7 linked regions of the Coturnix japonica genome follow. The protein of the gene in region 4 purifies or fractionates together with the protein of the main gene of each other region. This does not show direct contact. Links are inferred from orthologs where the notes say so. Each region holds a gene or a part of one and is shown on either strand. Other genes may lie near its edges.

The links.
Region 1: the proteins of RUVBL1 (region 4) and ACTL6A purify together in Homo sapiens (affinity purification with mass spectrometry; 10 studies listed by BioGRID and IntAct, counting the BioPlex papers as one, with this or other methods). This does not show direct contact. The link is inferred for Coturnix japonica from reciprocal best matches to the Homo sapiens genes RUVBL1 and ACTL6A.
Region 2: the proteins of RUVBL1 (region 4) and DKC1 purify together in Homo sapiens (affinity purification with mass spectrometry; 4 studies listed by BioGRID and IntAct, counting the BioPlex papers as one, with this or other methods). This does not show direct contact. The link is inferred for Coturnix japonica from reciprocal best matches to the Homo sapiens genes RUVBL1 and DKC1.
Region 3: the proteins of RUVBL1 (region 4) and DPCD purify together in Homo sapiens (affinity purification with mass spectrometry; 6 studies listed by BioGRID and IntAct, counting the BioPlex papers as one, with this or other methods). This does not show direct contact. The link is inferred for Coturnix japonica from reciprocal best matches to the Homo sapiens genes RUVBL1 and DPCD.
Region 5: the proteins of RUVBL1 (region 4) and EFTUD2 purify together in Homo sapiens (affinity purification with mass spectrometry; 4 studies listed by BioGRID and IntAct, with this or other methods). This does not show direct contact. The link is inferred for Coturnix japonica from reciprocal best matches to the Homo sapiens genes RUVBL1 and EFTUD2.
Region 6: the proteins of RUVBL1 (region 4) and EPC2 purify together in Homo sapiens (co-immunoprecipitation; 3 studies listed by BioGRID and IntAct, counting the BioPlex papers as one, with this or other methods). This does not show direct contact. The link is inferred for Coturnix japonica from reciprocal best matches to the Homo sapiens genes RUVBL1 and EPC2.
Region 7: the proteins of RUVBL1 (region 4) and NOP58 purify together in Homo sapiens (affinity purification with mass spectrometry; 4 studies listed by BioGRID and IntAct, with this or other methods). This does not show direct contact. The link is inferred for Coturnix japonica from reciprocal best matches to the Homo sapiens genes RUVBL1 and NOP58.

Annotation. Positions count from the first base shown.
Region 1 is NC_029524.1:15,347,882-15,351,191, forward strand, and holds the end of ACTL6A (actin-like protein 6A), read right to left. Parts: intron 2,929-3,310; coding exon 2,833-2,928; intron 2,532-2,832; coding exon 2,445-2,531; intron 1,856-2,444; coding exon 1,775-1,855; 3' UTR 501-1,774; downstream 1-500.
Region 2 is NC_029519.1:2,073,881-2,076,918, reverse strand, and holds the end of DKC1 (H/ACA ribonucleoprotein complex subunit DKC1), read right to left. Parts: intron 2,879-3,038; coding exon 2,812-2,878; intron 2,202-2,811; coding exon 2,022-2,201; intron 1,804-2,021; coding exon 1,732-1,803; 3' UTR 501-1,731; downstream 1-500.
Region 3 is NC_029521.1:19,945,177-19,949,326, reverse strand, and holds the start of DPCD (protein DPCD), read left to right. Parts: upstream 1-1,350; 5' UTR 1,351-1,396; coding exon 1,397-1,436; intron 1,437-2,052; coding exon 2,053-2,177; intron 2,178-2,913; coding exon 2,914-3,047; intron 3,048-4,150. Other genes in the region: POLL (DNA polymerase lambda), read right to left, coding at 94-391, 590-749, 980-1,273. UniProt on the Homo sapiens protein: May play a role in the formation or function of ciliated cells.
Region 4 is NC_029527.1:7,160,865-7,163,752, forward strand, and holds the end of RUVBL1 (ruvB-like 1), read left to right. Parts: intron 1-1,401; coding exon 1,402-1,493; intron 1,494-1,811; coding exon 1,812-1,971; 3' UTR 1,972-2,388; downstream 2,389-2,888. UniProt on the Homo sapiens protein: Possesses single-stranded DNA-stimulated ATPase and ATP-dependent DNA helicase (3' to 5') activity; hexamerization is thought to be critical for ATP hydrolysis and adjacent subunits in the ring-like structure contribute to the ATPase activity.
Region 5 is NC_029542.1:765,795-768,949, reverse strand, and holds part of EFTUD2 (116 kDa U5 small nuclear ribonucleoprotein component), read left to right. Parts: intron 1-10; coding exon 11-122; intron 123-322; coding exon 323-463; intron 464-657; coding exon 658-759; intron 760-977; coding exon 978-1,060; intron 1,061-2,074; coding exon 2,075-2,161; intron 2,162-2,428; coding exon 2,429-2,555; intron 2,556-3,147; coding exon 3,148-3,155. UniProt on the Homo sapiens protein: Required for pre-mRNA splicing as component of the spliceosome, including pre-catalytic, catalytic and post-catalytic spliceosomal complexes. Component of the U5 snRNP and the U4/U6-U5 tri-snRNP complex, a building block of the spliceosome.
Region 6 is NC_029522.1:31,150,190-31,153,689, reverse strand, and holds part of EPC2 (enhancer of polycomb homolog 2), read left to right. Parts: intron 1-1,004; coding exon 1,005-1,338; intron 1,339-2,537; coding exon 2,538-2,610; 3' UTR 2,611-3,500. UniProt on the Homo sapiens protein: May play a role in transcription or DNA repair.
Region 7 is NC_029522.1:10,261,229-10,264,728, reverse strand, and holds part of NOP58 (nucleolar protein 58), read right to left. Parts: intron 3,439-3,500; exon of another isoform or gene 3,351-3,438; intron 2,222-3,350; coding exon 2,087-2,221; intron 1,468-2,086; coding exon 1,322-1,467; intron 1,232-1,321; exon of another isoform or gene 1,148-1,231; intron 405-1,147; coding exon 278-404; intron 145-277; exon of another isoform or gene 59-144; intron 1-58. UniProt on the Homo sapiens protein: Required for the biogenesis of box C/D snoRNAs such as U3, U8 and U14 snoRNAs. Part of the small subunit (SSU) processome, first precursor of the small eukaryotic ribosomal subunit.

The sequences.
Region 1 (3,310 bases), on a different chromosome or scaffold from region 4:
CTTCATACCTACATTTCTAGATACCTCTGACCAATTCAAACATTCAAACCAGAAGGCTGGTAGTAGTCTTCTCTGCAATTTAAGTGGAAAGGTAAGGAATCTCTTCCTTACCACTACCATGGTACTGTAGTTTTGTAAAGATACAAAGCAGATAATCACTGAAACTTAAGCGCATGTCACAGAAGGAAAACTTGAAACTTATAATTGATTCATGAAGAAGCAAACAAAGCATCTACTTTTCCTCATTTCAATCAACAAACTGTCAGATCAATTTTAGTATTTCAGTGATGCTACAGTAACTTCTAACACAGTTCTGATCTGCTAAGATCCAAGTCCAGCTGGCATTCCACATTCTACTTGAACACTAACTCAATCAAGTGTTCTCCTTCCAGCATGACAACAGCAGGCGATTTGTCATGCAGTGCAGCTGACTTAAGTTTGCCTCATTTTCTGACAGAAATACATTTTCAAAGTATTTGACAAACTATAAAACAAGCAACTTTATCCAAGAGTCAAATGATGTTTATTATGGTATGACAAAAACAGGCTGTTTTGATAAATTATTTTATTGCTCGGAGGTAACATGAAACTTTTCAACTAGAGTCCCCATCCCTATTTACCCTTGAGGTCTTCTAGGATACTGAAAAGGTAGCAGTACTGTTCACTTAGTTTTACATCAGTTAAATGCTATTTGGTTTTCCACAGCCTCTAAAATAAGGAACAAAATTCCACTGTGCCACAATACAGAACATCATGATGTTGTGAAATAGAGTGAGCTAAACAGCAACACAGAGCTGCAGCTTGATAGCAGATCCTGCTGAAAAAAAAAACCAATAAATCCCCCCTCCTTTCTCTGCCCAAGCGCACACACCCCATACTAAATGCAGGCACTTACTGACGATGCCAAGAGTCAGCTAAGGGAGCTAACCCAGCAAAGAACAAATTGTAACTGCTCCTCTAAGTTACAGTTCACTGTAAAATGTAAAGCCACATCCTGAGGTCTATGACTATTCTGCTAGTCTTGGAAAGAATTTGCTGCCTTACATTCCCCGTCTCTAAAAAGCTCTGCTTCTCATCTACATCACTAAGGCATTCTGCAGATTATATACATTCTTAAAAACTAGCTGGAAAACAATAAAGGTTTACTGAAATTGCTCCTTAATGGAAAATTAGCAGACCAGTGTCTAATATAACATTCACTAAATGGAATGTAGCACTTTCATCAGAGGGTAGAAATTTACACTGAACTGAGTCACCTACAGTAGATTAGTAAATACGAACTCTGACTTTTAAAACAGAAGCGTAACTTTCTCTGCAAGTACTCACAAGGTTGCTCAAATACAGAAGAGCAAGTTTTATTTTTAAGAGAGAAGTAAGAGCAATTTAAGGCCAAAGTACCAGCAAAGGAAGACTAAGATGTGAAAGTAGACAAGAATTTCTTGGTAAAATTGTGCAGACATCTGCAAGGTTACGCCTCTCTTAGCTAACCTGTAAAGCTGTTCCCAGGAGAAGATACTAGAGAAAATAGACATTTATACAAAATTATAAAATACTTGTTATATGAATTATTGCTTTACAAAGGACACCAACATCCTTTTTCTATTAGGTACCAATTAGGTCTCTCAAAACTTGTAAGGTCTGTTAAAAATGGAACTTGAATTACGCAAAAAATCCAATATAAACTTTCTACAAAAAAGTCCATCCCATTCCTGAGTATGCTAAAGCTCTAAGTCAGAAGAAGCGCTGAGAAGCAGCAGTTTTCACATTAAGAGATTTAAGGACATTTTCTTTCTACGCATTGTTTCCCTCCTTCTTCATATTCTTGTTTAGAAATCCACATTTGTTGGAAAGTACCCTACAAAAACAAAACAACAAGGCAGAAACATGGAGGTTAGGTGAAACACGCTGCACTTCTCATTAAGGGAAAAACAAGAAAATCTTCACATCAAGTAAAGAAAGAGGATTTGACTCCACATGTTTCATTAGCTTTTTCCTTTGATTTTTTTCCTACTGGTGATTAAAACTCAGACTGAAAGTTGCAGGACCAAAAGCTGATTTCAGCTAATGAAATTCCCACAAACCACACCAATGCTCAGTAACCTGGACAATCAAGTTCATGCACATGATAAAGAAATGTATTTACACCCTTCACAGTGCACTATCTACACTATATTTTTAGACACCGCATTTCAAGCCTGCACATTCCCATTTAATATAGAACCACAGAATCACAGAATTGTAGGGGTTGGAAGGGACCTCTAGAGATCATCAAGTCCAACCCCCAGCCAAAGCAGGTTCCCTACACCAAAGAAGAAGGTGGCAAATTACATTCAGATTGATTGGAAAGGTTCAGATAATTATTGCTCCATTAGCATGAACTCTTCAATGCATACTTATATGACATTAACTTCTGCTGCAAAATGTAGTAATGTGGGTTTACTAACCAAAGAAGCCAAAATTGAACCACCAATCCATGAGCTGAACCTCCGCTCCACTGTGGTGTTGTTTGCTATCAATTTCAGACGCATGCTCTGCATAGAAAATGAGGTGAAACAAAAGAAAAACACTCAGATACAAATTGCAGGAGACTGGTGCCCTTTAGTAACACGAGGACAACACAAAGAACTCTGTGTACGTGTTATCATGCTGCTGGAAAAGATCAATCTTATTCAACTTACAACAAAGCTCATCTGCCCTGTATTTAGAATCCAAGAAAAGCTATGCTGCAACAGAAGTATATGATGTTTTTATCTTGTCTCTCAACAGAGACCATTAGTAAATGCAGCAGAAAAGCAACATGATAAGTAACAGAAATGTGAAGTGTTGTCTTACCGGTGGAGTTTTCTGAGACAGCTCCCTGTTCAATCTGTCTGTGAAACTCTGTATTAGTGTGTTCCCTCCCGCTACAATCACACTGCCATAGAGGCCCTGAAATGAGAATCAGCAACCTATGTTAATTCTGAAATCATTCTGAAAACAACTCACTCAGAGTAGAAAGGAATGACACACGATTACATAGAATCAATAACAACAATAATGTATCACATCTTATAAACAATACTGCATCTCACAATTAAATTTATTAATTGTATGAAAAACATCTAATAGGAGCTCAATAATGTACTACATAATGAAAATAGGAGCTGAGATTAACAATCCTAAATGATTTCACAGAATATTTTCTTCAATTAGAAGGTCACCCACACAAACATCCTATATTGAAACTAATGGTTTCCTTTCAGCTCAATCACAGAATCAGTTTGGGAATGTCCCATAAAGATCATTGACTCCAGCTCCTGGCTCCAACTGG
Region 2 (3,038 bases), on a different chromosome or scaffold from region 4:
CTGGGCAAACCATAACCATTGTAGGTGCAAGAATGTTGTGTGTGTTCAGCACTTGGCTGGGGGAAGGGGTTTAAACAAGTCTTGTGCAAGTTTTAGGTTTGTTTTTTTTTTTCTTTTTAAAAGAAGCCAAAAATAAAGTCTGTTGATGTGCAATAGGGACCTTTGTTCTGATCCACTGCAGGGAAACAGCGAGCAGCAATAAACACGTGCTGAAATGAGTTGCCAACGAGTGCTGTGTTACCTCAGGCTGCTCCCACCTCCCTGAGCTCAAGGCAGCAAGGTAAGGCTGAGGGAGCACAGAGCTCTCCAGGACAAGTAAAGCAGTAAAGCAGTTGGGCTTGCAGGCACGTCCCACTGGGTTTTACCCCCAGGCACCTCTACTGAGTGCTCAATGTACCCACAGCCTGTGCACACTTACTGCCTGCCCTCCCCCTGAGCAGCCCAAGTGGTCTGAGAACTGTTCCCTGCTTGAGGAGTCAGGTAAGCAAGAAAGTCACCCATTCAAAAATAGGGCTTTTATTATTAATTTTCTTTAATATAAAAAAAAAGTGAATAAAAATTAACTTCTTTTCAACCCAGGTTCTGACAGCCGTTGGTTGCTGTCCGCACTGACTGCATCTCTAGCATTGAAGGGAAAAGTCACATTTAAGACTAAAGCAATTGAGGAGGCTAAGACAAACGTTACAGGATCTCTGCAGGGAGAGAGCTCAGAACAAAGCAGCCAGGGTCCTTCCCTACTAAAAGAAGCTAAAATCCTGGCACTGTTCCTGACTCAATGATCTCTAGAGGTCCCTTCCAACCCCTAAAATTCTGTGATTCTGCCCCTGCTGAGCACAACTCCCTTAACACTCAGTGCCCCTGTGCATAGCTGCCAAGCCTGCATTCACAAGCCCTGTAATAAGCCCAGCTCTGCAGCTCCTGCAGCTGCACCCCCCACCTAACGCCTCCTGAGCATATTAGATACCAAAAACCAGCAGAGGCAGCTGAGAGGGCTGCAGCCCCGTTCCAATAACTGGACTGGAGCCAGCACTGGCAACATGACTGGGACACACTGGGTCTGGGATCAGCACACAGCTAACAAGCAGGTCCCCACACTAAAAAGCACAAAGCAGGAATTTCATGTTCTAATCCTTTTATGATGGAGTTGAAAAGAGGTACCAAAGAATGGACATCTGCGTCAACTAGCTGAGGGTCAGGCCAACTATATGGCCAGGTTAAAACCAACCAGAGCCCCCAAATAACCGATTCAGCTGTCTCCAGAGGAGCCAAACCCTTCCAGATGGCCATGGCAAGGCCAGTCCCTCCAGACACAAGCACATTCTGTAACTGTCGGGTAACAGTTTTGACACTGGAAGAGAAGGAAGAGGCAGGAGAGAAAAGGGAAAGTGTTGTTTCTCCCTTTCACGGTGAAAACAAACCCCAAAGAGCAAGGAGCTGCATCTTCCCTGAAGATACCACTTCAACTGGCATCAAGGTGTCCAGCTTCACAGAGCAATTCAGTGCAGGGCCAGTCGGGCACCACACTCCTCTGGCTACCCTTAAAACAGGATGAGGAGGGGTGCTGGAGCAGGGCACATCCTGGGCAAACAACTTCTCACTCATATGCACAGCAGAAAAGAAACTTGGAATTTGCTGGCCCCTCAGCTGCACGGGCAGTCCTCTTTTCCTCAAGGTCTCAGACTTCTCCCTCCCTAACGATGAGGTTTGCCTGCTTTGGACAGATCCAGCTGCTTACTCTGAACTCTCTTCTACCTCCTTCTGTTTCTTTTTCTTCTTCTTCTTCTTGGTGCTGCTTTCACTGATCTGCAAAGAGGATCGAGAGTTCAGGAATTAATCCAAAAGGCATCACTCACTGCTCATCTCAGGATGACAATGCAGCCCACATGAAGTCTAACACAGCACTCTCAGTAAAACTCTTTCACCTCCCATTGTTTCACACACAGCCCCAGGTGTCCAAACATCACACACGCTTATCCCAAGTGCCCAACAGACAGCAACTCTTCCCAATGCTTGAACCATACCATGGCAGCACTGTCACATGCCACTTCTATTTGTTCTTCCCCACTCTCAGCCGCTTCTTTGGCTTTCTTTTCTTTCTTCTTCTTCTTCTTCTCCTTTTTGCTCAGCTCCTCTGGTGGTGGAGTGGCTGGGGATGGTGGGGGGCTCTCAGCCTCATTTTCACTCTCTGACTCTCGCTTCCTCTGTTAGGAAAACACATTGTCAGACCATTTTCCAAAGGAACTCAAGTGTTGGAAAAGCTGTTTGCAAGCCTTTCACAACTGCTTTTTCCCCCGACTTCTTAGTAAGCAACACTTCAAACATGAGTGTGAACCACAGACTGCCAGAAATCCCTTCCATCATACAGCAGAGGGATTCCTTCCTGCCAGAATTACACCCCAACTTCTTAGTGCTCCCTGTACCCCAAATCCTCCTATTCAAAACACTGCTGCACTACCTGCAAGCCTTTATTTATATCCTTACATCAGTGCAGAACTCCTAACTCAGGGAGCTCCATATGCAGTATTTGCTTGGACTCCTTAGATGAACCAGATGTACTCCAGAAACGTTCTCTGGCACAATGACCTGGCACTGTAGCTCCATCCAGTGTATTTCTTTGGATGCTGCAGCTTTTACAGTACTCCTCATTCCCACTTACTGTGCTGCACTATTCACAGACAGAGACCAAAAGGACAGAGCAGTGGGAGCACTCTCAGCTCTCACACAGACAGGTTCTACCATAAAAGTAAGCCCAAGATCCAAAGCAGCCTTCATAGCCCAGACAACCTTAAACCAGAGAGCAGCAATACTCACTTTTGGAGCCCGTTCCACCTCTGACACAGCCTGGGGAACTTTAGCTACCTCTTTCTTGGACGGCTCTCTAAAAGAGAAGAGACATCGAGCTGAGTGGGACTGCTGCTGCCTTCCACCAGTACAAAGCCCCCTCCCCCTCACAAGGGTTCCCTAACCCACACAGACATTGGGTAGGGGGGCTAAATGTGGGGATGACTTGCAGACTGCACCAGTGCCAGCTGGACAGG
Region 3 (4,150 bases), on a different chromosome or scaffold from region 4:
GTAGTCTGCGATTGTGAGCGGGGGTCAAAGTTTAGTGCGATTCAATTTAGGATTAAGGCACGATAGAGAGGAAAAACGGCATGACGTGCCTACCTCCGAGGGACAAAGACACTGTAGCCAGCGGTACTGAGCAGCTTCTGATCTCTAATGCAATCACTGAGCCAGGATGCCTTCACCAGCTGCAGCCTGGAAGGCAGCTTGGCTAATTTCAGGAGCCGAAAGGCCCGATCACAGTCCATATCTTCAGCTACAATGACGTGAGTCACCTCTGAGCAGAGACGGTTGTGTACACATCCTCCATTCTGGACAATCTGCTTGTGGAAGATCTCTGCTCTAGCTTGGCCAATGCCAGCTTGCAGCACGTAGGCACTGACTGGCTTCAGCCACTCCGCTGTGGAAAAGCACAGAGGCAGGAAATCAATGACAGAGAAACAGTGTCCTGAACTAAATGTGCTACATATCTTAGGTGGCACATGGGCTGGACACATTGAAGCCAGCCAGACCTCTTCAGAAAATACACTTGGGCCATAAGAAGCCTTTAGGGCACAGCACCTCCAATTACATCCTATACATGGGACATGGGACTTACCCTCGGGCTCCTCCATTCCTTCCTTTGGGATCTTTGGAGGGACGCCTTTCCCCGAGTCCTCCCTCACCTTCTTCCTCTTGGGAAAGGCTTTGACAATCCCCCGTGGTTCCATAGGCCGGGCTGTGCCTCGCTCCCCTGGGGGGAAGTTAAGCTGCAGCTGCTGAACAGCAGTAAGAACAGAGAAAGCTGCTTAAAACAGTTACACACAATCAAAAACAACTTAATTTTCGCATCTTTTGCTTATGGCCTTTGTCGGTCGGTACCGCTGGTTTGCTGTTGTTGGGGAATTGGGCTGGCAGCGATCCCTGTGAGGGCCCCATAGGGCTGACAGAAGGCCCGGAGCCCATAGAGCGGAGGGGGGCTCACACAGCCGCGCTAGGCCGCACTCACCTCCGGGTCGCCGGCAGAGGCCTTCCGGGCGGCGGCGGAAGTGTGAGCGTTGCCGTGGCCACGGGCCCCGGCCGCCATGGCGGTACCGAGCTGGTTGGAGAGGCTGCAGGCCGCCAGCAAGACCGCGCTGCTGCAGGACGGTAAAGGAAGCGGAGAGCCGGGGTGGGAGCCCGCATTACTCTTATCTCCCACCGGGGTGTTTTGGGGAGGCCCTGCGGGAAGAGAGCGAGGCTTGGGCACTATGGGCGGAAACGGGTCTGTAAACGTGGGGACACGGCCCTGTGCTGCTGCCATCGTGCAAGGAAACGGGGTACCGAGCCCTACACACAGGGGTAAAGCTATTCCTATTGAATCTCAGCCCCTGCTCTGCTTCTAGGGAAACGGAAGATCCACTACCAGTTTGAGGATGGGAAGGAGATGGCTGAGGAGTACGACATGAAGACCAGCCAGTTACTGAGTAAGTGGGGTGATGGGTCGGTATGTGCAGGGCTGGAGTGGGGGGAGGCACCGTCTGGGCAGGAAGGAAGCGCCCCTAAATATACCTGAACTGTTCCTGGAGCTCCCCCTCCCTTATGAAGGGACATAACTATGGTTGATTAGGCCTAAGGTCTTCTCACTTCCTTGAGCAATCTTTGCTTCAGCCCAGGATCACTCCCAAACTGCCTGTCACTCACAACAGACTTAATGGCACTGAATGGGACTGCCAGCTCGCACAGCCAGGCATGTGCTGAGGCATGTGCTAGGGTGAAACATGCCTTTTGGTGGCTTCTGCAGCCACAGACAGACAAGGTGTTGGTCACAGATCTTATCCAAAACCACAATTGAGGCATGGCATCTGTTGTGAACCTACTATGGCTTCAGGATCAAATAGCAAAAAAGAGGCAGTTAGTGCACAGTTCTTGGATTCGGGAGTAGTCCAGCTAACTGATCCACTTATACCAAAGTGGAAATAATTGAAATTAAGGGAAATGGCTTATTGTAATTTCAGTTTAAGGTGCTGGGCATCTTTGTTGGTAATTTGCTGGAGTTCTTCCTATAAAGCAGAATAACAGAATCTCTTCTCCCTTCTACAGGTAGAAGGTGGCGAGAGAAGAACACCCTCGGGGGCACTGGCAAATGGCAGGTTGAAGTGGGAGACCCAACTTTGCCTCTCCTGGGGCCACTAGAAACAGAGCTCATAAAGGAAAGCAGCTCTAATGTACGTAACAGCCTGCAGGCATTAGGTCTGCACCTAAAACTATCTACCCAGCCTTGTACTTAACAGCAGTAGGCTGTAGATCACTCACTGCCCCAAGAGACAGCCTTAACCTGCCCAGTGCTCTGCTACAAAGAATCCCAAAGGTCTGGGGAGAAAGAGGGCACGGTTTAGGTTCTTTTGAGGTCTCCAGGAGATTTGTGGTTCCCATAAACCAAGAAACTGTTTTGCTGTGGTAGCCAGCTATTGTGCTAGCTTCCACAAAAGTAGGCTGAAAGGAAGGCCAGAGCCAGGACAAATCAGTGGATGGAAAGTGAGGTGATAACAGTGAAAAGCCAACACAGGCAGTGTGTAACAGGCTGCTCTTTAACACAGCACTGGCTGTTTTACCTCCTGTCCCACTAGTGTAGGGGTGGAGGCTTTAGCCTCTCACTTTCTTTTCTATAGATCTGAAACACAAGAGCAGCTCTGCGCAGCAGACTGGGGCAGAAGCCCAGTTTCACTGTAACACTGCTGTGGGACTCCCTTGGTGAATGCCTTCAGCCTCCTACAAGCAGAGCAGGCAACACCCTTAGTAAATGCTAGTCCTTCAGAACTGATGCTCAGGCAGTTTCTTGAGTTGTTCCTTAATAATCCAGTGGGAAAGAAGAGATACTCCCATGTGAGTAAGAGAAAAGGGTACAAGGAGGAGAGAGGAGACAGATGGAGGGGTTTTGCTAAAGGTACTTGTTTGCTGTAGCCTGTCTTCATGAGGAAGGACACCCTGACCAGCTTCCAGTGGCGGATCCGTAACCTGCCCTACCCCAAGGAGGTCTACAGTGTCACTGTGGAGAAGGAGCAGCGCTGCTGTGTTATCCGGACCACAAACAAGAAGTCAGTAAGAACAGCACTGCCAGTGCTGATAGTCCCTCAGGGTGGGCTGGCACAGAGGGCAGGGTGGTGTTGGCAGAGGGGCGATGTCCTTTCTTGCCTTTGAGGTACCATACGTTAGACAGAAAGAGCCATGCCAACTGCAGTTTCCACTTCCAGCTGCCTCAGACTGACCAAAAAGCCCCTCAAGCTCAGCAGTGGACTTTGCAGACTTATCTCACAGTTCATTAGCAAGGTGTTTAGTCTGTTCTTTTCTTGTCAAATATTATTCCCAAAGAGAAATGAAATAATACCTTTGCAGACCTGTGGAAGCTAGAGCTTCCCATCCTCTTCCTGAGACACAGTACTTTGGTTTAGCCATTGCATCATTGAGCCTTAACTACCTCAGTGGAATAGGCCAGGATGAGCAGGAGTGTTGGGGAGAGATGGCAAGGAGGGAGCGTTAGGAAAACAAGAGAGAATGTTAGAAGGCCAGTGAAAGACTGGGATAAATACACCAGTACGAAAAGCTGGGCAGCCTGTCCTTTGGTTGCCTTTCCTCCCCAGCATTGCTGCAGAACCCGGGAGGATCAGGTTCGTGGGTAAAAACCACAGCTCTGCTTTCCAGCCTGCACCCTGCCCTCTTTCAACCGCACCTTGCTGCTGGCTGTAGGTGGTGCTGTTGGCAAAGAACTCGCTCTGCCTTGGGAACTGAACAGCTTTCAGGACAGCAGAACCCAGTTTTCCGGCAATAGTTTACCACATCAGGGACCATGGCAAGGGAAAGTTTAAGCTCTGCAGATGGGCACACCTGGATGCTCAAAAGTACGAGGAAGCTGACAGTAGGGAGGGGAGGTCTGCCCTATGAAAGCGGATTCAGTGCTAAAACAGAAAGTTTCTGGCCTGAGTCCACAGAGAAGGATTTGCAAGAAAAGAACCGAGACACCTAAGGTTATAACATACACTAAGGTTTCACCTATGTCCTACCTGACTTCAAGGTTTTTTGTACCATTCTCAGGATAACATATAGAGTTGTCCCACAATCATATTGCAGCTACACACTCACAGTATCAGAGATAGCTGAAGGACATGAAAGCTGCTCGTGGCCTGCAGATGAAAGTTAAGGG
Region 4 (2,888 bases):
AGTTCATAACCAGTAGAAATCTCATTGTGTGGTTCTGCTGTCAGAAACACCCAGTTACCTTATTGCAACCAGGACAGGGATACAATGATTCTAGGATAACCCCTTTATATGTAGATACTAGTCACACTTCTTCCCTGCTGTTAGATGGAAGAGGTTGCACCTGATGAACAATGGGTGTTAGTTATTTCACCTGGTAAACACTACTTTTCCTATTTGAAGTAAGCGTGTTCGTATGTATTTTCTGGGTTACTGCCTTAGACCCTGATCCTTCAGTGAGATTCTACCAGGTTGCTAGATAAAAAGTTTTAAGAGATAGATAGTTATTCTAAGGTAAGTGGCACTCAAGGTGTCTTGTTTCTAACAGGGGAAGAGTAAAGCAGTAGTATTGGAATGAATGAAAAGTGCTGTTCGGGTGATCTATCGGATGTGACAGGTCTTCAATTTGGAATTGCAGTTTGCAGGGGCCATTTCTGATATTCAGTATTAATGTCTTAGCACAACTTTCTGCTATTTCAAACCCCTCTTTTACTCTCTTCCCTACCCTGACTCCCCTGGCGCATTTTTATGGCTTTAATTTAAACAAGTGCTTCTTGATATCTTGTTTACAAAGCTGCCAAAGTGAAAAATACCTGTATTATATGAGGCTTGCAGTTCCAGAGTTATCTCAGCACTACAACACAACATCATTATCCAGTCTGCCCCTTATCACTCGGCTGGTAATACGGACTACCGAGAGACTTGCGCCACTTCTGTTACAGCTTTATATGCTCAGGCTTATTGTGATATCTTGCTCTCCAACTTTGTGAAGATCTGCAAACTGGTACAAGCCTTAGGACTGTTCTTGAAAGATTAGATTTTTCTTAGTGATTTTTTTTCTTCTTGCATGAATAGGTGAATCTAAGAAAGTAACTTTTTGATTTATTTTACAATTGTATTGTCAACGGAATAAAAAGTGCGTTGTGAGCTGCTATGGGAAGTGTAGCTTTGTGTAGGGCTTGTTGGAACACACAACAATACACTGCAAAATGTAGGAACTGGTGTTGCTGCCCACAAGGCTCCAGCTGTTGCCATTATTCTCTGTGTACTTTATCGATTTCCTTGCATAATTCTCTTACTCTGCTTCTCATTAGTAGATCCACCTTGCGAACCATGCACAATCATCACAAAGTACAGTCAAAACATCAACCTGCTTTTATGATTATCAACATGATGTTTGCCCATTCAAAGACGGAATTCCACAGATCAGTTGTAGTGTAGAGGTAAACTACAGCAGGATAAGTTCGTACCGTATCATTTTATAGCACATCCCCATTGCTAAGCTGACAGTGCATCTAGGAAATAAACTAAGTAATCTAACATGCTAACAGCCTGGGCTGTTACCTGACTTACTTATTCCAACAGATCATAAAACTTCGTGCCCAGACGGAAGGAATTAATATTAGTGAAGAAGCTCTAAATCATTTAGGGGAAATTGGAACCAAAACAACCTTAAGGTGAGTTGAATGCAATTGGTTTTTCTCTCATACTTTGTAAGCATGACCGGGTCTTAAAACTCCATAGGATAATTCACTCTTGAAGCAAGACAGCTCACTCCCATACTGTAACACTGTGTTAAGAAGACTTAACACTGCTAAAGGTTTGTAATGCTCCTGTTGCCTTGTTTAAGGGATGTACCAGCTATAGAATCTTACAGATTTCTTTTTATATGACTAGAGCTGTGTGTTACTTAATAATTCTCCCACCCATACATTTATTCAGTTCACTGGAATGCACTGATCTGTAATTTTTCATCCATCTGTGTTTGGTCACAGGTACGCCGTGCAGCTACTGACCCCAGCTAACCTGCTTGCCAAGATTAATGGGAAAGACAGCATTGAGAAGGAGCATATTGAAGAAATAAATGAACTTTTCTATGACGCCAAGTCCTCGGCAAAAATCTTGGCTGATCAACAGGAGAAGTACATGAAATAAGCTTATTACATTAGATGCCTTGAAGCGGCGTTAACCCTTACCCAGGGCTGGCTTAAATAAGAAATGTTAATGGTTTGTCTCTTTTGGGACTGGAAAAATATTTAAATGTTGGACTGCTTTGTCAGGCCAGAATTAAATAGCAAGTGTTCTTATTACATTGTCAATGATAAGATGCTCTATGATATCTCTGTAACATCTTAGTCTCCATTTTATGAGTACCTGTGAAATGAATAGCTCTTGAACCACCAGTGTTTTTTAGATTTCATTACGGGAGAGCTCTAACTGAAGCTGATGCTTAAAAACAGTCTATTTTCTTTATGAATCTCCTTTTAAAATAGTTTCCTTTTACAGATGACTTTTTGGTTTTGAATCAAAGTTTGTCTGAAGTGGTTTATAATAAAGTATTTCAAGATCTAAGAACAAGTGCACGTTGGTGAAGTTATTGACCCTGACATTCCCTACTATAAAAGTGACTTAAAACCACTTACTGTTCATTTGGATTCAATATTGTTTTGATCACTTACTACTGTCACAGTCATGTGAAAACCTGCCCCATTCTTCAATATGGATTTTAGTATTGCCAGCCAGCCCTAATTATTTTCTGTGCTTTAAATGATGTGCCTACTCCATTCTCTACATCTGCACCTAAACAGCAGTGACAGAGATATGTAATGAATGATGTTTTTTGTTAAATCTCTGACTATTTTTGGCCAAGGAGCAAATCCTGCTTTCAAACCTGAAACCTCTTTCTGACTCCAAATGCACAAAGATGGCACATAGAGCACTAACCCGCATCCCTCAGAGCCATGTCTGCAGGGACAGTGACTCCTCCACTTCCCTGGGCAGCCTGTTAGTTTGATGCCCCGCTCACATGGTGGCAGAAGACCTGCTGAGTCAATGAGGAGTGGACTTCTACA
Region 5 (3,155 bases), on a different chromosome or scaffold from region 4:
CACCTTTTAGGTATCACATTGAGGTTAACCGTGTTCCTGCTGGCAACTGGGTGCTGATAGAAGGAGTGGACCAGCCCATTGTGAAGACTGCAACTGTCACGGAGCCACGAGGCAATGAGGAGGTACTGTGTGCGCCTGCTGTCACTCAGCCCTGCAGGAATTTAGGGTGTTGGAATGTATCTTAAAAGCTGAGGTGGTGAGATTAAATAAAGACAAGGGCTGGGGTACAAGAGCCAACAGTGGAAGGAGAACAACTCAGATGCTCTGTTAGACCCCAAGGTCCATCTATGATGCAAAGCTCTTTGTCCTTACTTGATTCCAGGCTCAGATCTTCCGCCCTTTGAAGTTCAACACTACGTCTGTCATCAAAATAGCAGTAGAGCCAGTCAACCCCTCTGAGCTCCCCAAAATGTTGGATGGTCTCCGCAAAGTCAACAAGAGCTACCCATCGCTTACCACAAAGGTATTTCTGGTGTATGTGTGCTCTGGGATACCTCATAGGCTGATCTTAAGAACAAATCAGTTTAACTGGGGGATGTTTTGTTTGTTCTGGGTTTTTTTTTAATGCTGGTAAATCCTGAGGTTTATATGGGGCCCTGCAAGACAAGGACCTGTGAGCAATAATGCTGTGAACTGAACCCTTCTCTTGTTTTTCAGGTGGAAGAGTCTGGAGAACATGTGATCCTGGGGACAGGGGAGCTCTATCTGGATTGCGTGATGCATGATCTGCGGAAGATGTATTCTGAGATTGATATCAAGGTGAGGAAATGGGAGGAGGGGGTGTTTCCCAGCTGGGGAAGGGTTTTGTCCTTCAAACTCAGAAGGATGGGAAAATAAACCTTGCACAGTTGACAGGGTGACTGTCTGCCTCTGGTTCCTCCTCACTGTGCTGAGGTTGTTGCAATATTGTAAGAGGGGCTTCTGTGTCAATCTAAATAATACAAACTCCCTCTACAAACCTGATGCTGTTGTTCCAGGTCGCTGATCCGGTCGTGACGTTCTGTGAGACAGTGGTGGAAACGTCCTCCCTGAAGTGCTTTGCTGAGACTCCCAATAAGAAGTAAGAGCCCAGGGCAGCCATGGGAGCAGTCAGTGGGGACAGGCAGTGGATGGGTTCTCTTAGGGGGCTGCTCCCAGGCAAGTGGCAGCCTTCCATCTGCTGAGCCCCAGTAACACACTGAGTCCCACAGATGTTTCTGTGTTCTCTGTGAGCTCAGAATGGAGGGAATAGAAGAAAGATCCACATTCTCCTTTAACTGAATTTCACACCCTCTCAGCAGTTCTCTGTCATTTTCAAGACTGGGAGGTGTATTGGGATCATAGAGCCAATTACTGCCAAAGAGCCCATTACTGCCTTCAGTGATTCCACAAAACTTGTGAAACGTTTCATCTTAATCTTGAAATTAATATACTCCTTTCTGGTGCCTTACAACCCCGTCTTGTCTTTATGCTCCAGCAAGGTGTTAGGAGATGTGCATGTTGGAGGGAGGGAGGCCTGGCATGGAATCATAGATTGAATAACCAGAATGAAAGTATGTTGTAATACAGCATGTTGTAATGCCTGAGTTTTCATGGAAATGGTGATCTATCATACAATGGAGATAGTTTTCCTGTATTCCACTGTGCTTTCTGGTAATTCTTGCCTTCTTTTCTACTGAAATACTGTGGCTGGAAGTCTTGTTTTTGGGAACAGACAGGTTTTGCTCTTCAGACTGTCTTAGAGGTGCAGGGCAGGTGGAGTGACGTGCTATAGGGCCAACGTTCCCATGTGAGTGGCGTTGTCCAAAGCAACATCCCTTATGTCTGACACTTCCTTATGCAGCCAGTATGAGCTCTGGACATCTGGCAGGGAGGGATGGGGGCCACTCCTGTCCCTTAGCAATCTGCTGCTGGAGGTGAGCAGACTTCAGAGAGCAGTTGTTAGCAGCGTGGGTTGTCTTTACAAGCACAACAGTAATGCTGAAAGACACGGATGGCTTCATCTCTCTGGCTGTGTTGCACAGTCCCCGAGGTCCTGCCAATTACTCCCATTTCTGTCATTCTGTGGACTAATTGCAACTGTCTCTCTTCTCAGGAACAAGATCACGATGATTGCTGAACCTCTGGAGAAGGGACTTGCGGAGGACATTGAAAATGAAGTGGTCCAAATAACGTGGAACAGGTATGGACAGTCTGGGGGGAGCAAGGATCTTTCTGGAGGGAAATAACTGGGGAAGTAGGGAGCACTGGGATCCACAAGGATCAGTCAGCAGCTCCCAGGCAGGGATCCTGGGTGCACCAGTGAGTCCAGGAGCATCCTGGCCCAGCAAACAGTTTGCTTCGTGTAAAAAGCTGAGGCTGTTTTTATGTGGAGCAGGTTTATAAATACTTACTTTCTGAGTGCAGATCAGACTCTGCTTTCCTAAACTTCCTTCTGTTCTTCCATCAGAAAGAAGCTGGGTGAATTCTTCCAGACCAAATACGACTGGGATTTGCTGGCTGCCCGTTCCATCTGGGCCTTCGGGCCGGATGCCACTGGCCCAAACATCCTGGTAGATGATACTCTGCCCTCAGAGGTGAGGAACAGGCACAGGGGTTATATTGGAGTGAAATATATTGTGTGCCCCGGTGGTGCAGTGGTTAAAGACGCCGCCTTGCAACACTGGGGCCCGGGGTTCGAATCCCCCCTGTGGCGCAAGTGGTAGAAGTGCCGCTCTGCTACACAGAGGCTCGAATCCCGGGGGCTGGACTCGATGATCTCTAAGGTCCCTTCCAACCCGCACGAAACTATGAAACTATGAAACTATGAAATGTTTATTCTGTTCTGTCCAGAGGTGGCAGTTCCTTCCAGGACCTGCAGCAAGGTTCTAATGCTGTAGGAGTGCTTGTTGGTTTGTCATGTCTCAGATACATTGAGCTTCTTCCTCTATGCTCATATCAAAGCTGGTGAACTGTCAGTCCGCAGTTTGGGCCAGCACCCTCAGAACTGAACGGCCTGTCTTTAAGGATTACCAAAATAGGCACTCTTCACTTCTGACTATAGATGTCAAACTCTTAAAGATGATGATTCAGAGCTGTGAGGAGGGTGCAGAAGAACATGGCTGCTCATCTAATAAACAACTGTTAAACACTGGGGTCTATCTGATCCTGCCTTGTCTCTGTCCATAGGTGGACAA
Region 6 (3,500 bases), on a different chromosome or scaffold from region 4:
TCTGCTAGGCTGAATAGTGAAATAAGTAGAAGTGTGAGGGGGAGAGCAGTGCAACACAGCTGAATAAAATCAATATACTGGAACTGATCCAGTAAAGAAAAGGGCAACTGTGTATAACTTGCTGAAATATCAGATCTGAGAGTGTAATGTTTTGAGGGATACAGGATCAGGTGTATGTGTGTGTACCATGTATCAGCACGATAGCCTTACAGTTGATGAAAAATATTGCAGATATGCATATAAAATTAGATTTGTGTTACTGTTCCAAGGCTGTAGATGTCACTGATGTAAAACAGCCATTCCAGCTTCAGATAGGAAGATTTAAATTAGGACATATTGACTAAAACCAGCTTTTTGTAGGAATAGGGAGAAATGTTCTTAGACCCAGTTTTTTTTTTTTCCATCAGTGAATAGGAAGAGGAATCCTGAGAGCCACCAGTTTGAGTATGTGCTGTGCTTGATTGTAGCTAGAGCCTGAAGTTCTCCCACCATCTGAATACAGACAGCACTGCTTTGTAAGCTGGGAGGGGTCCTGTACTCCTCATTCTGTTGCCTTGAAGACCCAAGTAACTCATGGTGGTGCCAGTCAGATAAGGGAGGAGGTGATTCAAAGCATCAGAACTTGGCTTCTCACTCAGTCTCTATAGTTGCCTGGCTAAGCTGTGGTCCCATATGATGTACTTTTATGGGGAATGCTGCACTTTAAGACTCCTAAATTGAAGTGCATGAAGTTGGAAAATATAAAAGCTCTTTGACACTACAGACTCTTCCACTTTCTGATGTCTTTGTGAATGAAGCAAACAAAAAAAAACCCCCACTTTTAAAATACTCCTAAGCTTGACTGGAAAGAATTCTAAGACTTTTCATCTGTTTGAGTCCTTAAAGCAGTTAACACAGGGATGATTCCAGTGACTCACATGCTTAAATCATTACTGTTGAGATTTAACCTTTTGTCTTTAAATCTAAATGGCATGTTTTAATTAAAAACATTTGCTTTGCAACAGGAACCTCTAGAACGTTGTACTCCACCAACATGGCTTTATCATCCAGCCCAGGGATTTCAGCTGTACAGCTTGTAAGGACAGTTGGCCACACCACCACAAACCACTTAATTCCAGCGTTGTGCACAAGCAGCCCTCAAACACTTCCCATGAACAATTCTTGCCTGACTAATGCAGTGCACCTCAACAATGTCAGCGTTGTTTCTCCAGTCAATGTGCATATTAATACAAGGACTTCAGCACCATCGCCAACAGCCTTAAAACTTGCCACAGTTGCTGCCAGTATGGACAGAGTGCCAAAGGTAACTCCTAGCAGTGCCATCAGCAGTATAGCAAGGTAAGCGCAGAGCAAGTTAGAGCACAGATTCCAGTTAAAACTTCTGCCAGTTTGGAGCACACTAGTTTTGGTCGTCTTCCATTGTGTTTAAGTGGCTTCATTCTAACCATTTTCATTTGTCCCTTCTTATTCAGCACTTGCCAAGTAGATTCTTTCAAACTCTCCATGTGTTCTCTCTGCAGCTATATGTACCCATAATGTAAGATGCAGGCTGGCATATCTATTTTATACATATGTATGTGTGCATACACGTTTTGAATTCAAAATAGAAAACAGATATAAGCCAGTCTGTCTCTTACTATGCATGCCTTTATAATGTATAATTATTTTCATTTACGAGTACTTAGCCAGTACTTAAGTGTTCCACAGGAGTGGCAGTGGCTTGTAGCTGATTATGTTTTGCAAATGACAGCATTTGGGCTCTGTTGTAAAGGTCTCTGCTGGATTGTATGATGCTTTAAAAGCAAAAAAGAAATACTTGTCTATAGGTTAAGAAAGCAGAAAAAGAGCATTAGCTTTATCCATTATGGATTATTTCATGACATATCCAGAGTTGTTAAAAAGAGCTTTTGAGATGGAGAACCACACGTATAGTACAGTCCCTGTGCAGAGAGTGGAAAAGCTGTTTTTAAATTAGCAATTGCTTTAAAGCGTATTCCTGTATCATTAGTGCCTTTAGCTCTTGTTTCCATCGAGTCACAGGGGTGTTTCAAGTCAAGTCAGCATATGCCTGAAAAAGAACCATCTTAGCTGAATAGACCTAAGGCTCCTCTACAGGGGATGGTAATAAAGTCAGAAAGAAATTAGAATTTTTTTTGTGCTGAAACTGAACTGGAAAAAAATAGTTCACAAATGGAATAATTGGTAGCTGTTGCACAAGTCCTAATGGCATACCGTGACTCTGTTCCTTCAGGAGACTTATTATTATCTGTAATTTGGGCTGGTAATTTATAGTTAAATGCATTGAAGTTGGGACATCTCTGCTAATACTCTTGTAGAAGGAACTGCAATGTTCATGGGGTTAAAGCCATTCTTAAACCACCAGTATTTCAGCTTTAAATGGTCTGTTTCTATCTAGTGTGTATGTTAAGGTTTGTCCATAGCCATGTAAGAGCACAGAGCCTGTAAGAAATCACTGAAATTGCATAAGGAAATATCCGTGTTCTACCTGTAATTGTGGAATGCTTCTTTTGTTACAGAGAGAACCATGAACCAGAGCGGCTGGGTTTGAACGGCATAGCAGAGACAACAGTAGCAATGGAAGTGACATAACCTCAAATCAGTGTCTCAACCTGTGCTAACGGTGTAGTCATTTATATTCCAACCGAATGCAAAATACAGCACTCTGTGGATCACAGAGAACTAAAATGGACCTAAATGGACTATCCTTATATCGTGTATTAAGTCGATATATAATGTAAATTTTGTAAAATTGGGAGAATCACTACCTTGTAAAATAGTTTATTTGTATCATCAATATTATTTCTGTTACTTGAATAGTAGATATTCATCATCATGCTTTTGCACTTGAATTTGCAACTGAATGGATTAAAAAATAATTCTTTAATGGGATCATGAGCATGAAATGGGATCCTGCATCACTTGTTTTAACTATTTATTTTGCCATGTTTACATTTTGTATCTTGTACAAATAAATCCAACTTTGTGTCTAAAAAAAGAAGTTAAAGATTCATAGCTAGGAGACAAAATTCTTGTAATTTTTTTCTAAAGGAAATGTAAAGTTTTCACTTGGTTCATTTTGTTTCACAATTTGACTAGATGGACTTTTTGGTAAATACTTTAGTGGCATTTCACTGTCAAATATGAAGTTCAAGGCAAAATAGTATTTTCTATTACTGTGCAGGGGAAAGGGATGGATCGATACATGCAAATTTAATGTAGTAACTCACTTTTCCATATATTTTGAATGTATATTTCTATTTATAATACCAGTTTATAAAAAATAATTACACAGGAAAAAAAAAAGCTGACTAGGAAAATTATGCATCTGACACATATAAAATTGTGCAGATAAGAGAAAATTTTCAACCAATGACATTTTATCCGAAGACTGCATATTTTAACCGGCTTTAAAACTGTAACACACCACGTAAAGGACATTTTACCAGGTATGTATTGCATTATATATCATTGCAATAATT
Region 7 (3,500 bases), on a different chromosome or scaffold from region 4:
AAAGCCAACTTCTCAGTATTTTATCTCAGATTTGACTGGACCGCCAGAAAGGGGCTCAGTGTCTCAGAAGAGGTAGTGACTTAAGTTGCCCTCACATTCCAAGAAGGATTCAGGCCAACCAAGAACTACATCATCACAGACTACTACCGAGCTCACACTCATATTCTCAAGAGATGCTCATCATGGTCTTGCATGATGCCTTCAGCCAATTAGCTCCTGAGAGAAAACTTGTGGTGAGGTCAGCTAAGCTTTATTTACACTGACCAATGTGACCCACCTGCATGAGCAATGAGTCTTGCTCCAACCAGTTCACCCACCATAACGGTGAGATTAGGAGCAATGGCCATCATTCTGTTCTTCAGGTAGTCATACAGCTGTGTCCGATACTCAGAGATCTCAATTACCTGGCATAAACAAAGTTTAGTTACATGAATCAGAATTGGCTGACAGACAAATCTAAGTCCTAAACGAAGGTGGCTACTACCAAGGAGGCTAACAGTGCAAACTACACAATCAAGAGTCAGTTACAGAAAGCTTTATATAGGGTATATTCCCAGAGCAGAGTTCCATCCATGAAGTGTATTGGATTTGTACTGTTCATTCCCTCATGTAACCTATTTTCTCAGCAGAGCTCCTGATAAAGGAGCTGACAACATGCCAAAGACAGCGAAGCAGAACAAAAATACTTAGTAAGGACATTTTCTTTAGGACAAAACCCTGGAACATTCAGTTTTCACATAAATCTTTGTCACCATTCTCTTTAAATAGGATAAATGATCTCTACTTGTTCCATACAAATGCACTCAATTAAAACACACATAAAAAAGCAGCCCAGTCTAGACTGAGAACAGGACTTGCTATTCCTAACCCTGCCACTCCCTGGTAAAGTCACAAAGGGATTCAGTTGGCACCAAAGTCAGAGGGAGTCCATAGGCAATACAAATGAAAGCAGGAGAGGGCTCCGAATTCTTTTTAGGCCTCAGTGCTCCACTTTTAACCCAGGGTTTACCGCCCAGCTTCAAAACTGACAGGCGAAAAAGAGGTTGCGCAGTACCATTTTCTTAAGGGCTTAAAAACACACCAGTGCCAGAATTCCTTCCAAAAGGAAGACACTTGCAGAAGGCTTCAAATAGACATCAACAGATGGAGATGGCTCAGATGAGGTAGTGACTGTGCACCCTCATGTCTGTACATCAGGAAAACCACAATATAGGAATCATCACTGCCATCATGACTGTGTTAGAAAGGGCCTAGGTAGAAGAGTCTCTGACGCTGTTAGGCATTGTGGAATTTCTACTGCTATTCATATACATATGCATACCTGATCACAGAGATGAATTATGTTGTTTATATCTTCTTCTGATACTTCTGTTCCCATGGAAATCTCAGCAGCAGCTTTTACATCCTCCTCAATCTCCTCTGGTAGGATGTCAGAAACATCAGAAGATGCAAAATTTCTTCTATCTCCTGCAGGGGACAGATGAAAGCACGTTTGTAGTGGGGGTGAGATGAGAAGGTATGAAAAGAACAGAAACAGACAAAGATAAAAAGGCTAAAATACAGTCAGTCAAGTCTGCTATCATCCTAACCTAAACTACCAAAATATACGTTGATGTTCAGACCTTATTTACACTACCAAGAAAGGTTAGGTCAATTCAATTTGGAACTAGAAAAAGCCCTTATTCCTTAACACCAAATACTTCACCTTTTCAGTACCTATTTGCTGTAAAATTTTCAGTCACAAGACTACGAAGGAAGAATATCAGTAAGCAGCAGTTACTTTTAACTAACCAGGTCTAAATATCCAAACTGGTCTGATTAATTCCAAGATATGCTGGTGGTCTTCTTTATGCTGGTCATATGATATTAGCGTTATATTACGGTTCAGAATTTCAAACTGCATTAGCATACAGAGGCAACCACACACCACCTCTGTACTGGCCTTATTTGCACTGGTTTAGATGGTAGGATTGTACACAACACCATGACCTGCTGTAGAGCGAGTTGCTGGTCTATAAATCTGTGTCATGACATTTCACGTTAATACACAATGCATCCCCCAGGCTCACGCCTCCTTATTACTCACCAACTTTCCGCACGCATTTACAATAGGTCAGGTTATCTGTGATGATTTTACCCAGCTCAGGGAAGTGCCAACCATACCATTCTCTACAGCGCATGATATAATTATTCAGTTCTTTGTCCAAGTCATCAAGAAGTGCTACGAGAAAGAAGAATGGACTTTTGTTTCTTACAAGGACATTGAAAAATGGTTAACTCTCAAATCAACAAATTTAAACAAAGTAAGCAAAGATAACAGAAGTAGATAAGTTGCTCCAAAAGTAATGCTTCCTATTTATTTCCAGGGAAACTACAACAGATGCAAAAAGCATAACACCACTATTTGATAAAGCAAATTCTCATCTTCCAAATACCTTTTTTCAATGTATTCACCACCATTAGCTATACATATTCATCAGTAATGAAGAAGTCTGCATGCTGCACTAGTAGAAGTCTGTACTAGAGCAGGGACCCAGTGCCATCACTGCCTCACTGCCATCCACTGCCTGGTCTCCAGATACGTTCAACAAGCATCAGTGAATGTCAACGGGTGCCATTTTTTCCACACAGAGGAATTCAATGACCCCTTCATTTCATATATGCATCCATGTCAGATACTATTCTGTAAGACTGTGCCTTTGCTGCCATATGCCACACAGTACCACAATATAACTTGATATTGGTGGGAAGATTCTACTTCTACTGCCATACCGCCAACATTCACCTCTGAACATAATAAAACAGAAGGCATTACTTCTAGAGCAGCCCTTGTTCTATCACAAAGATTTGATGGAATGCAACTTAAGCTGCAGTGAAGTAGAAGTCCTTTGTTTTCAGAGAACTGCATAATCCTAGGCACAGTAGTGCAGAAACATTAGAATTAACACAAACATTGTCTGAAAGTTTAACCGCTGGCACCACTTTGGAGAACAGATGCCTTTAGCAGCTGCAAAGGGCATTCTCTTGGATGGGGCACAGGAGCCACCGTGATTCTCCCTCTCAATCAGAAAAGTGTTCACACACAAGGTAGATGTAACAATTAGCCACCTAATAAACGTTAAAGAAAAAACCTAATGGTGAGAATGTATCTAGTATTCACAGTTACTTGATTGTGTTAAGCCCTTTAATTGTCTTTACACTATAAATGCATCTGACAAATCCAACAAGCTCAGCAGCTAGAAGATACGACTGATAACTGGATTTACAACATCAACATGTAACACCCACGGCATATATTGCTACAGAGCCCTGAGGCTAAAATATTTCCCTCTAATGCAATAACAACATTTCCATCTGTTGTCTCAGTGGTAGTGACGAAGGAACTGAATTAAATCATTATTTTCAGCTTAACTATGTTTCATCATTGACAACAGTCTGGGAATTAATATCCCAAACAGGATTCCTTGCAACTGCTTCACAGCAAGAATGCTGATTATGAT